Linked DNA regions of Drosophila melanogaster. Changing the gene in region 2 together with the main gene of any one other region gives a genetic interaction. Each region holds a gene or a part of one and is shown on either strand. Other genes may lie near its edges. The genes, in order: sba and G9a.

Region 1 (4,948 bases), on a different chromosome or scaffold from region 2:
TTTATGGCTTCTCGAATGCGTTTGCGTTCGCCAGACAATAACCAGATTGACTTTTAGCCCGGCCCGGCCCGGCCAAACGTGCTGTAAGTGTCATGTCAGTACAACACAGCACAGCGACGGAGCCAACAAGCAATGCTCAACCTGGGAGATATCCTGTGGCCACAGATGTACCCAGATACTATCCAACCGACTACTCACCTGATATAGGCCACCTCATTGTTGTTGGTCAAGCGACGCCAGCCGGGGGCCAAATTTCCATTGTAGCTAGTGGCCGTCTTCCTGTTGATATTGCCATTGCTACTGGCATTGTTGGCTTTGGCAACATTCTTGGCATAGAGCTGATTGTTCTGACTCATTTGACGCGCCGCAATTGTTGTCGACATGCAATGCGTTGCCCCAGTAGCAGCAGTTGCAGCAGCAACAGTTGCTGCCGTTACTCCCGTTGTTGCCGCTGACTTTATTGGCAACTTTATTTGCGCCTGGCGCTGTTTGGTTTGTTGCTGTTGTTGCTGCTGCTGCTGTTGCTGCTGCTGTTGCAAAAGGAGCTGCTGGTTGCTGGTGGGGCAGACAAATATGTGCTGCTGACTGTTTCGCTGCTGCTGTTGCTGCTGCAGATGCAGATTTGCTACTTGCATCATGTTGCCGCTGCCATTGCCGTTTACCAAGCCAGCTGGTAATATCTGTTGCTGTTGCTGGTGTTGCTGCTGCTGCTGCTGCTGATGATGATGTTGCTGCTGCTGCTGATGCACCGCTGCACTTGTAACGACCCGCGATACAAATTTCGTTTGTTGCTGCTGGAAAAACTGATGATGTTGCTGCTGCAGAGGCAACATTTGCTGCTGCTGCTTGAACATATTGATCTGTTGATGCTGCTGCTGATGTTGCTGCTGATGTTGCATCCCGCTGACCACCGTCTCAGCACTCCCAGCTATGTTCAGCTTGTGCTGGTGCTGATGTTGCTGCTGTTGCTGGCCAGCAGATGCGGCGGCCATGGCGATAAAAGCAGCCGTTCAGGAGAACTCCTTCGCAATTCAAAGCCTGCAAAGAATTCAAGGGAATTCCCGGATTAGTCACAGCCAAGACTAGAACATTCAGAGAATAATCATTTACATTGAGTATTATTCAAATAAGAATTATAAGCATTATAACCTCTATCACACTCTAATTAATTCCCCATACACATTCTTATAAACCCATTAATTAAGGGCTTGCTTCCAATTGTATAGCAAAAACTTTTAATATCATAAATGCGTTCAAATATTCAAAAATTTTTTGGAAAATCCGTTCTCTTCAGACATGACTCTGCATTTAAACAATTAACCTATTGTTATTTACAGTGGAGGTCTTCATGTCTTTGTTTCTACGTTTTCGGTTGACTCATTGACTTTAATCGAATGGAATTGCGTTGCGGCCTTTGTTTTGCTCCACAAGTTGACCACTTACAAAGTAGCCGAATTGAGGGCCAATCAGGGTTTATGCGCTGCGCGTGTAATGAACGTGGAAGTGGACTAAATCTGGTTTATCCGCCATCTCACGCACAAGCAACAGCAAGGCGGCAAGAAGGGGAAAAACCACAAGGTTGTAAACCCAAAGTCGCACTTAAATAGATACTGCTAACTGGACGATCGTATAAACGACAAATCGTAGGCCGCACCTTTTGTTATTTATGCGTTGTTAAGTTTCTGCCCCTTATTCTGCTATTCGCTCACCTTTTAGCTTGCTTTTCGCTTTGCTCATTTGCCAGCATATTAAATTAATTTTGAGTTATTGTGTAAACGAGACGCGGCCATGTCATGTTCATGTTTTTTTTATGGTTTCTTTTCCTTTTGTTTAAAACACTTAATTTCACTTTTTTTTTGCAATGATATTATTTTGTATTCCACTCTCTGCTTCTTTTGTAGCTGTAATAATGCGACAACGACGTTTGCGTTTAGATGCGTATTGTGTTGTTTGTACACGGGTAGGAAAATATCTGTATGTTTAAAATTTTTGCATATATTTTAAATATTTTAATTAATTTACGTGGCACAACATTTGACCACAGAAAGGTGCTCTTTATCAAGGTAACGTAATGCTACGCTCATAGAAAGGTGCTATCATTAGCCCTTAAGTGCTTAATAGTGTTTGTTTTGATTATTTCTTTTGGTGTACAATCTCATGACTTCATTTGGAATTCAGAAAACGAACGTCAGCAGTGGCGAATCGAGTGAAAAGTGGTGAGCAGAGAGCGCAGAGCGCGTAAAAGTAGGTGAATGGAGCATGAAGTGAAGACACCGAAGGCAGTGAGCGAGAGGAAAGGAGAGAGCGCGCGAGGGGGAGGCATCACCCACACCACCTCCCATCTCCCTTTCCCTCTCTGTCTCACTCATTCGCTCTCCGCTGCGTTGTTAAGATTAGCACAATTTGCAGACCATATTTTAAGTAGTATAATTAATGCGTGCCCGTTCGTTTGTTTGTTTGTTTGCCTCTGCTGCACGGTGGACAATACGGCACAGTGGGCAATAGCCACCACCTGCCCTGCGGTTCTGCTCCGGCGATCAGCGACAACACAAACAACACGAGAGCAGAGCGTAAGGGGCAGAGGAGGGGGAGGGGGTAGAGCAGCTGTTCGCCTTGGGCAGTGGGATGAAAACGAACATTGGTGGCTATCTCGGTGCACTGGTATGGGTATTGGGCAATCGCACACACACACACACACACAGGCACATGTACGATACGCGTGCCTATGCTGCGGTTTACTGCTGCTATAATATGTACAAAGTGACCTCAATACGCATTACGCTACAAGAGACACACAACAAACACACGACAACCAACTGACGACTGCACTTCGCTTTGGGCTTTATTATGCACAGACTCGGATTACGCCAAATGCCAATTAAATATGAATTAATTACAACAATTTTGTGTCGCTCGATTCGATTCACGCAATATTATGGCTCGCTCTCATTCTCTCTTTCTGGCCTGCTCTCTCACTCTCATTGGCAAACGCGCACACAAAATTTATATTTTTTTTTTTATTTCAACTTCACGAATTTTATGACTTTTATTCACTTTCATTTGCGGCCAATTGGACACATTACACACCTTATTGCGCTGCGTTTGCGGCGGCGGCGAGTGCGCACATTTGTTTTGGAATTTGTATGCTGTATTTAACGGAAAATCGACGAATCGACGACCGTAACTCCGTGCACTTTTCCGACCGCGACAACAACAAAATGTGATGTGACCGAAGGCGGACGTCTGTAAAATGCCAAAGCTACGACCTGAGCAATCGATAGTTCGGTGATGCCAGATTATATCATCGATTCTAGAATCGATATCGGACTTATCGATCAGCCAACGGTATGGCAAGGCTGTTTCCAAATAACAGTGGCAATTAAATTTATTTAAGTTTATTTAATTTGGTATTGCACACAAATCAATCTAACTTGCCTAGGGAAATTACTCAATTAAGAAGTAAGCATACAATATTTTTAGGCTTTCATTAGAAAACACGTGACAGCAAGGCGGTTCATCAGTTGTTTTATTTGTCAAATTGAAAAGTACACAATAATTAGGTAACAGAAATGTTGGAAATATTTAGGACGCCCTATGCGGACTCCAAACAGCTGCCGTTGGCAACTGGACCCGGTCCCATCATAATTATCCTCATTGGATACCTTCTGGTAGTTTTTAAGGCCGGCAGGAAGTTCATGGAGCATCGAGAACCTTATAATCTGCGAAAAGTGCTTAAGTACTATAACATGTTCCAGATATTCTACAATATAATGATGCTCCTGCCCGTGAGTTGAAATTTTGAGCCTACATTCTTTTCTTCAATTGATAAAAGCTTCTTCCGTAGGGATACTACTTCATGTTGGTATTCCAACCGTACAACTTTCGCTGCATGACTGTCCTGCAGCAGGATCATCCGCTGAAGAACTGGGAGCGCTGCATCAGCTATGCTTACTACATAAACAAGATCGTTGACCTGCTTGACACCGTGTTCTGCGTGCTGCGCAAGAAGTACTCGCAAATAACGTTTTTGCACGTTTTCCACCACGTCCTGATGCCATCCGCCGGATACTTGATAATACGATTCTATGGCTACGGAGGTCAACTCTTCTTCCTGTGCTCCTTCAATGTATTCGTTCATATCTTCATGTATGCCTATTACTATTCGGCCATCAAGGGCAATACGGTGCGTTGGAAGCGGTACTTGACCCTCATGCAAATGCTGCAGTTCCTCCTCATGTTTGGCCATTGCGCCTTAACCGCCATGCAGCGGCAGTGCACTGCATCGCAGGGAACCCTCTTTCTGGTCAGCTGCTCCGCGACCATCATGTTTATCATGTTCGCCAACTTTTATTTCCAGTGCTACCTGAGACCGAAGCATAAGGAGAACTAAAACTTAAATTAGGTCGAAAATTGAAGATATACTAATTTAGTCATACGTTTTTATGAGCCATTTTAATGGTGAACTTTCTAGATTTACAAAATTGTGCTTTGTAATTAAAAAGATAAATTTCAAAAAACCGTTTTCCATTAGGGTTTCTCACTACGAACATCAAATGAGTTATCGATTACGGGCAGCTCCACTTTCCGCATGCGGTCACACTTAAAAGTGCAACAACGCGCGCGTTGTCGGCAACCGTCGAATATTTGCAATTAGTCGCGAAATCAATTAGAAAACTATAGAATTAAATCAAATTATTGGTGATACCTCGATGGTCTAGCAGTTCGGAGCGCAAACATGTCTGCTAGCTCCTCCAGCAACGCTTGCAAGCTCTTGCTGCTCGGCCGCTGCCTGCGCGCCGTGCTCCTCAGCGTGGCCATCCAATTCCTGCTGCTCACAGTGTTCCTGCTGTTTGTGAACTTCCAACTGTTGCATCCGCTCGCCTGGGTGACGGGAACACTGCGTCTGGTAGCCAGTTGGTACACCTGGTTTGCCAGCATCCCTCTGGTG
Region 2 (4,977 bases):
CTTTTTGGGTGGGGTCTTCTCATCTAAGACAGCTAGTGGCAAGATCTCAGAAGTGACCTCCGCAAAGGAAAGTTCTGCAGAAGGCTGCGGGTGAAGTGCCTCTGTCTTTACCTCCTCCCAAGGGCTTCCATCGGCGTGTAATCGATTGCCTAAACGAACGCTACGTCGCATTCTCTTAACATCTCCCAAGGGAGCGTCACCCAATTCCTCCTGCTCTGTTTTTACCACGACAAGGTCGCTTAGTTGCTGCTGATCTATCGGTTCATCCGGGAGTTTCCTTTTGCGTCCTGGTTTCTTCTCCCCTAATGAATCCTCGCAGGGTAAAATAACCTCACTGGTTTCCACCTCGGCATCGGGTCTTATTTTCCTGGCTCGACCCCTTCCTCGCTTCGGAGCAGGAGCCGAGTTTTCCTCAGGAGATAATGCAGTTAATGACGGTTTGTCCGGTTCACTTTTCAACTGCAGTCTGACAATAGCAGTATTATCGTCCAGTGTGAACCTCTCCAGATGGCTACTACAATCCGTATACTGCTCCGACTTTCCAAATTTTTTATTCTCCACCTGAACATGTTCATCAGTAACTGAAGTGGGCGTGTCTATGGGTCTGGGTGTTCTTCGAGACCGTCGCGTTCCACCGGGCGAAACTTGTACCTGCAAAGTACAGAGACTCATTGAATGTGCCGACTAAAGAAGTACTCAGGATAATATTATATATTATATAATATAGAGACATACTAACTAGAAGTACCAGTCCTCAAAGAAAGCTTCAAATGCCTTCATCGGTTGCCTAGACAACTGTTTCTACCAAACATAAGAGGTCTGTTGACCAAGAGGATGAATGAATGGATGGCTTAACCCTCTTAAAATTGGATGCAATTACTTCAAGTCTTTCTTGTATTCAAATCCCTCTGGAATTATGACAAACTAACAATTGTAATCTAACCTTTTTATGACCTAACCATATTAAACAAACAGCTGAACAAAAACAATGACATACATTAGAATATTTATGTATATAAATATGCGTACATCAATCATATGTACGTATGTATTTGATTAAAACTACACGTGAAACACTAGAAAGAAAAGAACTCAGCAGTCAAGGGCTAACTTCTAAATGAATTAACAAATAGTAACTTCTCCAACATAATACGTCTTTAATTTGTATGACATACAAAAAGTAGAGAAATGAAATAAATCCCTAACCTTTTTTATGATTGGTATGAACCAAAACAATGCCATACATTAGGATATTTATGTATATAAATATGTGTACATCAATCATAACTACGTATGTATTTGATTTAAACTACACGTGAAACACTAGAAAGAAAAGAACTCAGCAGTCAAGGGCTAACATCTAAATAAATTAAAATATAAAAGAAAAAGCAAGAATTTCGAAGCTGATACACACAAACACACACACATTTACTTACATTTTTATCAGCTAATGTCGCTGCTCCTGCCGACGTCGCTGCTCGCATTTGGTTGGTTGCGTCAGCAGCGAGTTTAACGCTAGCAGAACTAACAACAAGTGGAGATGCTACTGCTACCTCAATTCTTGTTGTTGTCAGTGGTTCTGCATTTGCTTCCAATTTTTGTGTTGCTGCTAGTATGGGTTCTTCTTCTTTCTCAGCAGCTTTTTTATTTTGCTGCTCAGTTTTAAAGCTTTCGTTTTCCCATCTCTCTGTCGACGTCGTTGCAATTTCCGTTGCGTGTTTCTCTGCACGCTCGTTGCTTTCCATCTTTACTGTTATGGATGTTGCTTTGCCATTCTGCTTTTTTTCCATTTCGGAGTCTTGTTTTGCGACATCTTGATCGTACTCCATTTCCTTCCTACCTTCTTCCTCTATTTCGCATTTTGTATGTGGTTCGACTTTTTCTGCATTCTGCGCTTCTTCTTCTTCCAGCTTGACAGCGGCCGCATCGACAACATCTGCCAAAAGTGCTTTGATGTCTTCGATTTCCTCTTGATTCCTTGCCTCCTTGCGCTCCTCCTCCTCCTTGTCCTTGTGCTTCTTTTCTTTACTAGCGAACTGGTTATTGGCCAAATTACGCCACTTGAGGGTTTTGTCTTCCGCCAAGTTCAGATTTAGCAAAGTACCACCCTCCGCTGTTGAAGTAGCACAGTCGCTATTGAATGTACTGGACATGCTGTTCATCAGCTCAACAAAGTCCGTCATCTTGCCTTAATTGTCACTATTTGATTACTTTGCGTATTAGTTTCTTTGATTTTCGATTTCAGGAGTCAATTTTCCATCTTTAAGCCAATAAAAACATAATTTCGCTTTCAGAACCCTATTTTTCCCGACAAGATTTGTGCATCGGTCGTACAAGCAGCAGCCTTTGTTGTTGCTTTGCTGTTCTGAATTTGCAACTATTTTGACACCGATATTTTTGAGTATAAATGGGCAAACATAAGGCAAAATAAAACATTTAATCTTTAAAATTTAGACATTAAAATCTGGTTTTTCTGCTTTATATTATGCTCTTTCTTTTTCTTCGTTCTGCCGGCAGCGAAGTCGACTGCGTTTCTTGGTGGTCACAGCTAAATTTTTTGTATCCTCTCTTTTTTTTAATTTCTAGAGAACAAAACGTAAAAATACAAAATTTCTCACTATATTTCTTACTATATATTTACTATAGTTTTCCACTTTTTCGTTCATTAATTGCCCTTAAGAAGCTCAAAATGTTTGCAGAAATCGCTGCTTTGCTGATTAGCTCACATGCTGTCAAATATTACACTCTCTCACATCGCTTCAACGCCAAGATTGTTGTTCTTGTTGTTTCTCTGCCGACGTCGCTGCTACTGCGTTTTTGTTGGTGTTGCAGTCACTGTTTTGAGATTTTGGAATTGGTAAGCTGCAAATTTTTCAACGAATTTACAAATGCTTGTAGTTTTCGTGGCTTTCTCTTTACATAGGCAACCAGTTCAATAACATTACTTTAGAAAAATATAAGAAAAGCACACGAACACACATACAGAACTGCGTTTTTGACGCACGCACACGCACGCACTTCGCGCTGAAAACTGTTATCCGTAAAGAACAGCAACAACACAACAACTAGAGCTGGCATGGCACAAAAATCGATGTTTATCGGACATGGCAACGCTGCTTGGAATGTGTAATCGCTAAAAGAAAATAGGGTGACACGGTTCCCAATTTAGCTATCGCTAATTTGATAGGGCAGCACTGGCAAAGGCGTGAAAACAATTGTTATTAACGCATCTCAATTTATTTTTTTCTTAATATATAATCGTTTTAGGCATTGTGTTTATTAAAGTTTAGCAAGATAGACCAAGCCACATATACTTACAGACGGCATAGTGCGAGGGGAATCCCACGTAGAATGTAAGAAAAATGCGCATGCGCGGACGAAGATTGCTTCCGATTATTTTGTCGCTTCTTTTGATCGTCCTACTGAGTCTCTGTTACTTTTCGAATCACTTGAGGGATTCAAGCCAGTCCCGCAAAAACGGTTTCTTGCTGCACTTACCACTCGAAACGAAGAGGAATCCATCTAACCCTAATACTCCGTTAAGTAATCTTCTGAATCTCACGGACTTCCACTACTTGCTGGCCAGTAATGTGTGTCGAAAGGCAAAAAGAGAACTCTTAGGTAAGTTCTTTGCTTTAATCAACCATTGTAAGGAATCCTTAATCATTTTTGTAATTCCCGATTAGCCGTTTTAATAGTTACTTCGTATGCCGGACACGATGCCTTGCGATCAGCTCACCGACAGGCAATTCCCCAAAGCAAACTGGAAGAAATGGGCCTGCGAAGAGTTTTTCTCTTGGCAGCCCTGCCTTCAAGAGAGCATTTTATAAGCCAGGATCAACTGGCCAGCGAACAGAATCGTTTCGGGGACCTTCTCCAGGGGAATTTCATCGAGGACTATCGCAATCTGAGCTACAAACACGTAATGGGATTAAAGTGGGTCTCTGAGGAGTGCAAAAAGCAGGCCAAGTTTATCATTAAACTGGATGATGACATCATTTACGATGTGTTTCATCTGCGCAGGTATTTAGAGACCCTCGAGGTGCGCGAACCTGGACTGGCCACATCAAGTACTTTGTTATCTGGCTACGTACTGGATGCCAAGCCCCCCATTCGCCTTCGAGCCAATAAGTGGTACGTTAGCAAAAAGGAGTATCCTCAGGCTTTATATCCCGCCTATTTGTCGGGCTGGCTTTACGTGACCAACGTGCCAACAGCCGAGAGGATTGTGGCGGAGGCGGAGAGGATGTCATTTTTTTGGATCGATGACACCTGGTTGACTGGAGTAGTAAGGACTCGTTTGGGTATTCCCCTTGAGCGTCACAACGACTGGTTTTCTGCCAATGCAGAGTTCATCGACTGCTGTGTGCGAGATCTCAAGAAGCACAACTATGAGTGCGAGTACTCCGTGGGACCCAATGGCGGTGACGACCGACTACTGGTGGAATTTCTGCATAACGTTGAGAAGTGCTACTTTGATGAATGCGTCAAACGGCCGGTTGGTAAGTCGCTCAAAGAGACCTGTTTAGCGGCGGCCAAATCTCGACCCCCTAAACATGGTTTTCCTGAAATAAAAGCGTTGCGACTCAGGTGACATCGGTTCAAGGACAAATGGCTTTTCATCCTTTAGCAACTATCATGTAAGGACTTTTTAAAAGGGGGTGATGAAGGAAGAGACAAATATTGGAAAAGGGATATGATACTCATCCTTGCATATATATATATATGCATTACAATAAATGTTTGCCAGAAATCGACTTTACATGAATTACTATACACCAGTTTTTTAATTATATATAATTTCGGTTGCCATAGTAACAGTCGGAAAATTAAATGAAAAATAATAGGACATGAAAACATACTTTCATTGTTTTTTTTTTAATCATCAATTTTAAAAATAAAACTGTTCTAATGTGTTTTTTGTTTTACACTGCATTTTTACGAAATAAATAATAATAATAAGATTAAAAACAGAAC

The links.
Region 1: of G9a (region 2) and sba, changing one enhances a phenotype caused by changing the other (phenotypic enhancement), as found in Drosophila melanogaster (one study listed by BioGRID).

Annotation. Positions count from the first base shown.
Region 1 is NT_033777.3:23,919,809-23,924,756, forward strand, and holds the start of sba (six-banded), read right to left. Parts: upstream 3,166-4,948; 5' UTR 3,088-3,165; intron 1,973-3,087; exon of another isoform or gene 1,710-1,972; intron 1,039-1,709; 5' UTR 993-1,038; coding exon 199-992; intron 1-198. Other genes in the region: CG31141 (uncharacterized protein), read left to right, coding at 3,570-3,785, 3,845-4,390; Ndc1 (nuclear division cycle 1), read left to right, coding at 4,736-4,948. UniProt on the Drosophila melanogaster protein: Non-catalytic component of the polycomb repressive deubiquitinase (PR-DUB) complex, a complex that specifically mediates deubiquitination of histone H2A monoubiquitinated at 'Lys-119' (H2AK118ub1). Important for maintaining stability of the PR-DUB complex.
Region 2 is NC_004354.4:244,056-249,032, reverse strand, and holds the start of G9a (G9a), read right to left. Parts: upstream 3,056-4,977; 5' UTR 2,184-3,055; coding exon 1,437-2,183; intron 652-1,436; coding exon 1-651. Other genes in the region: CG3038 (uncharacterized protein), read left to right, coding at 3,363-3,621, 3,687-4,594.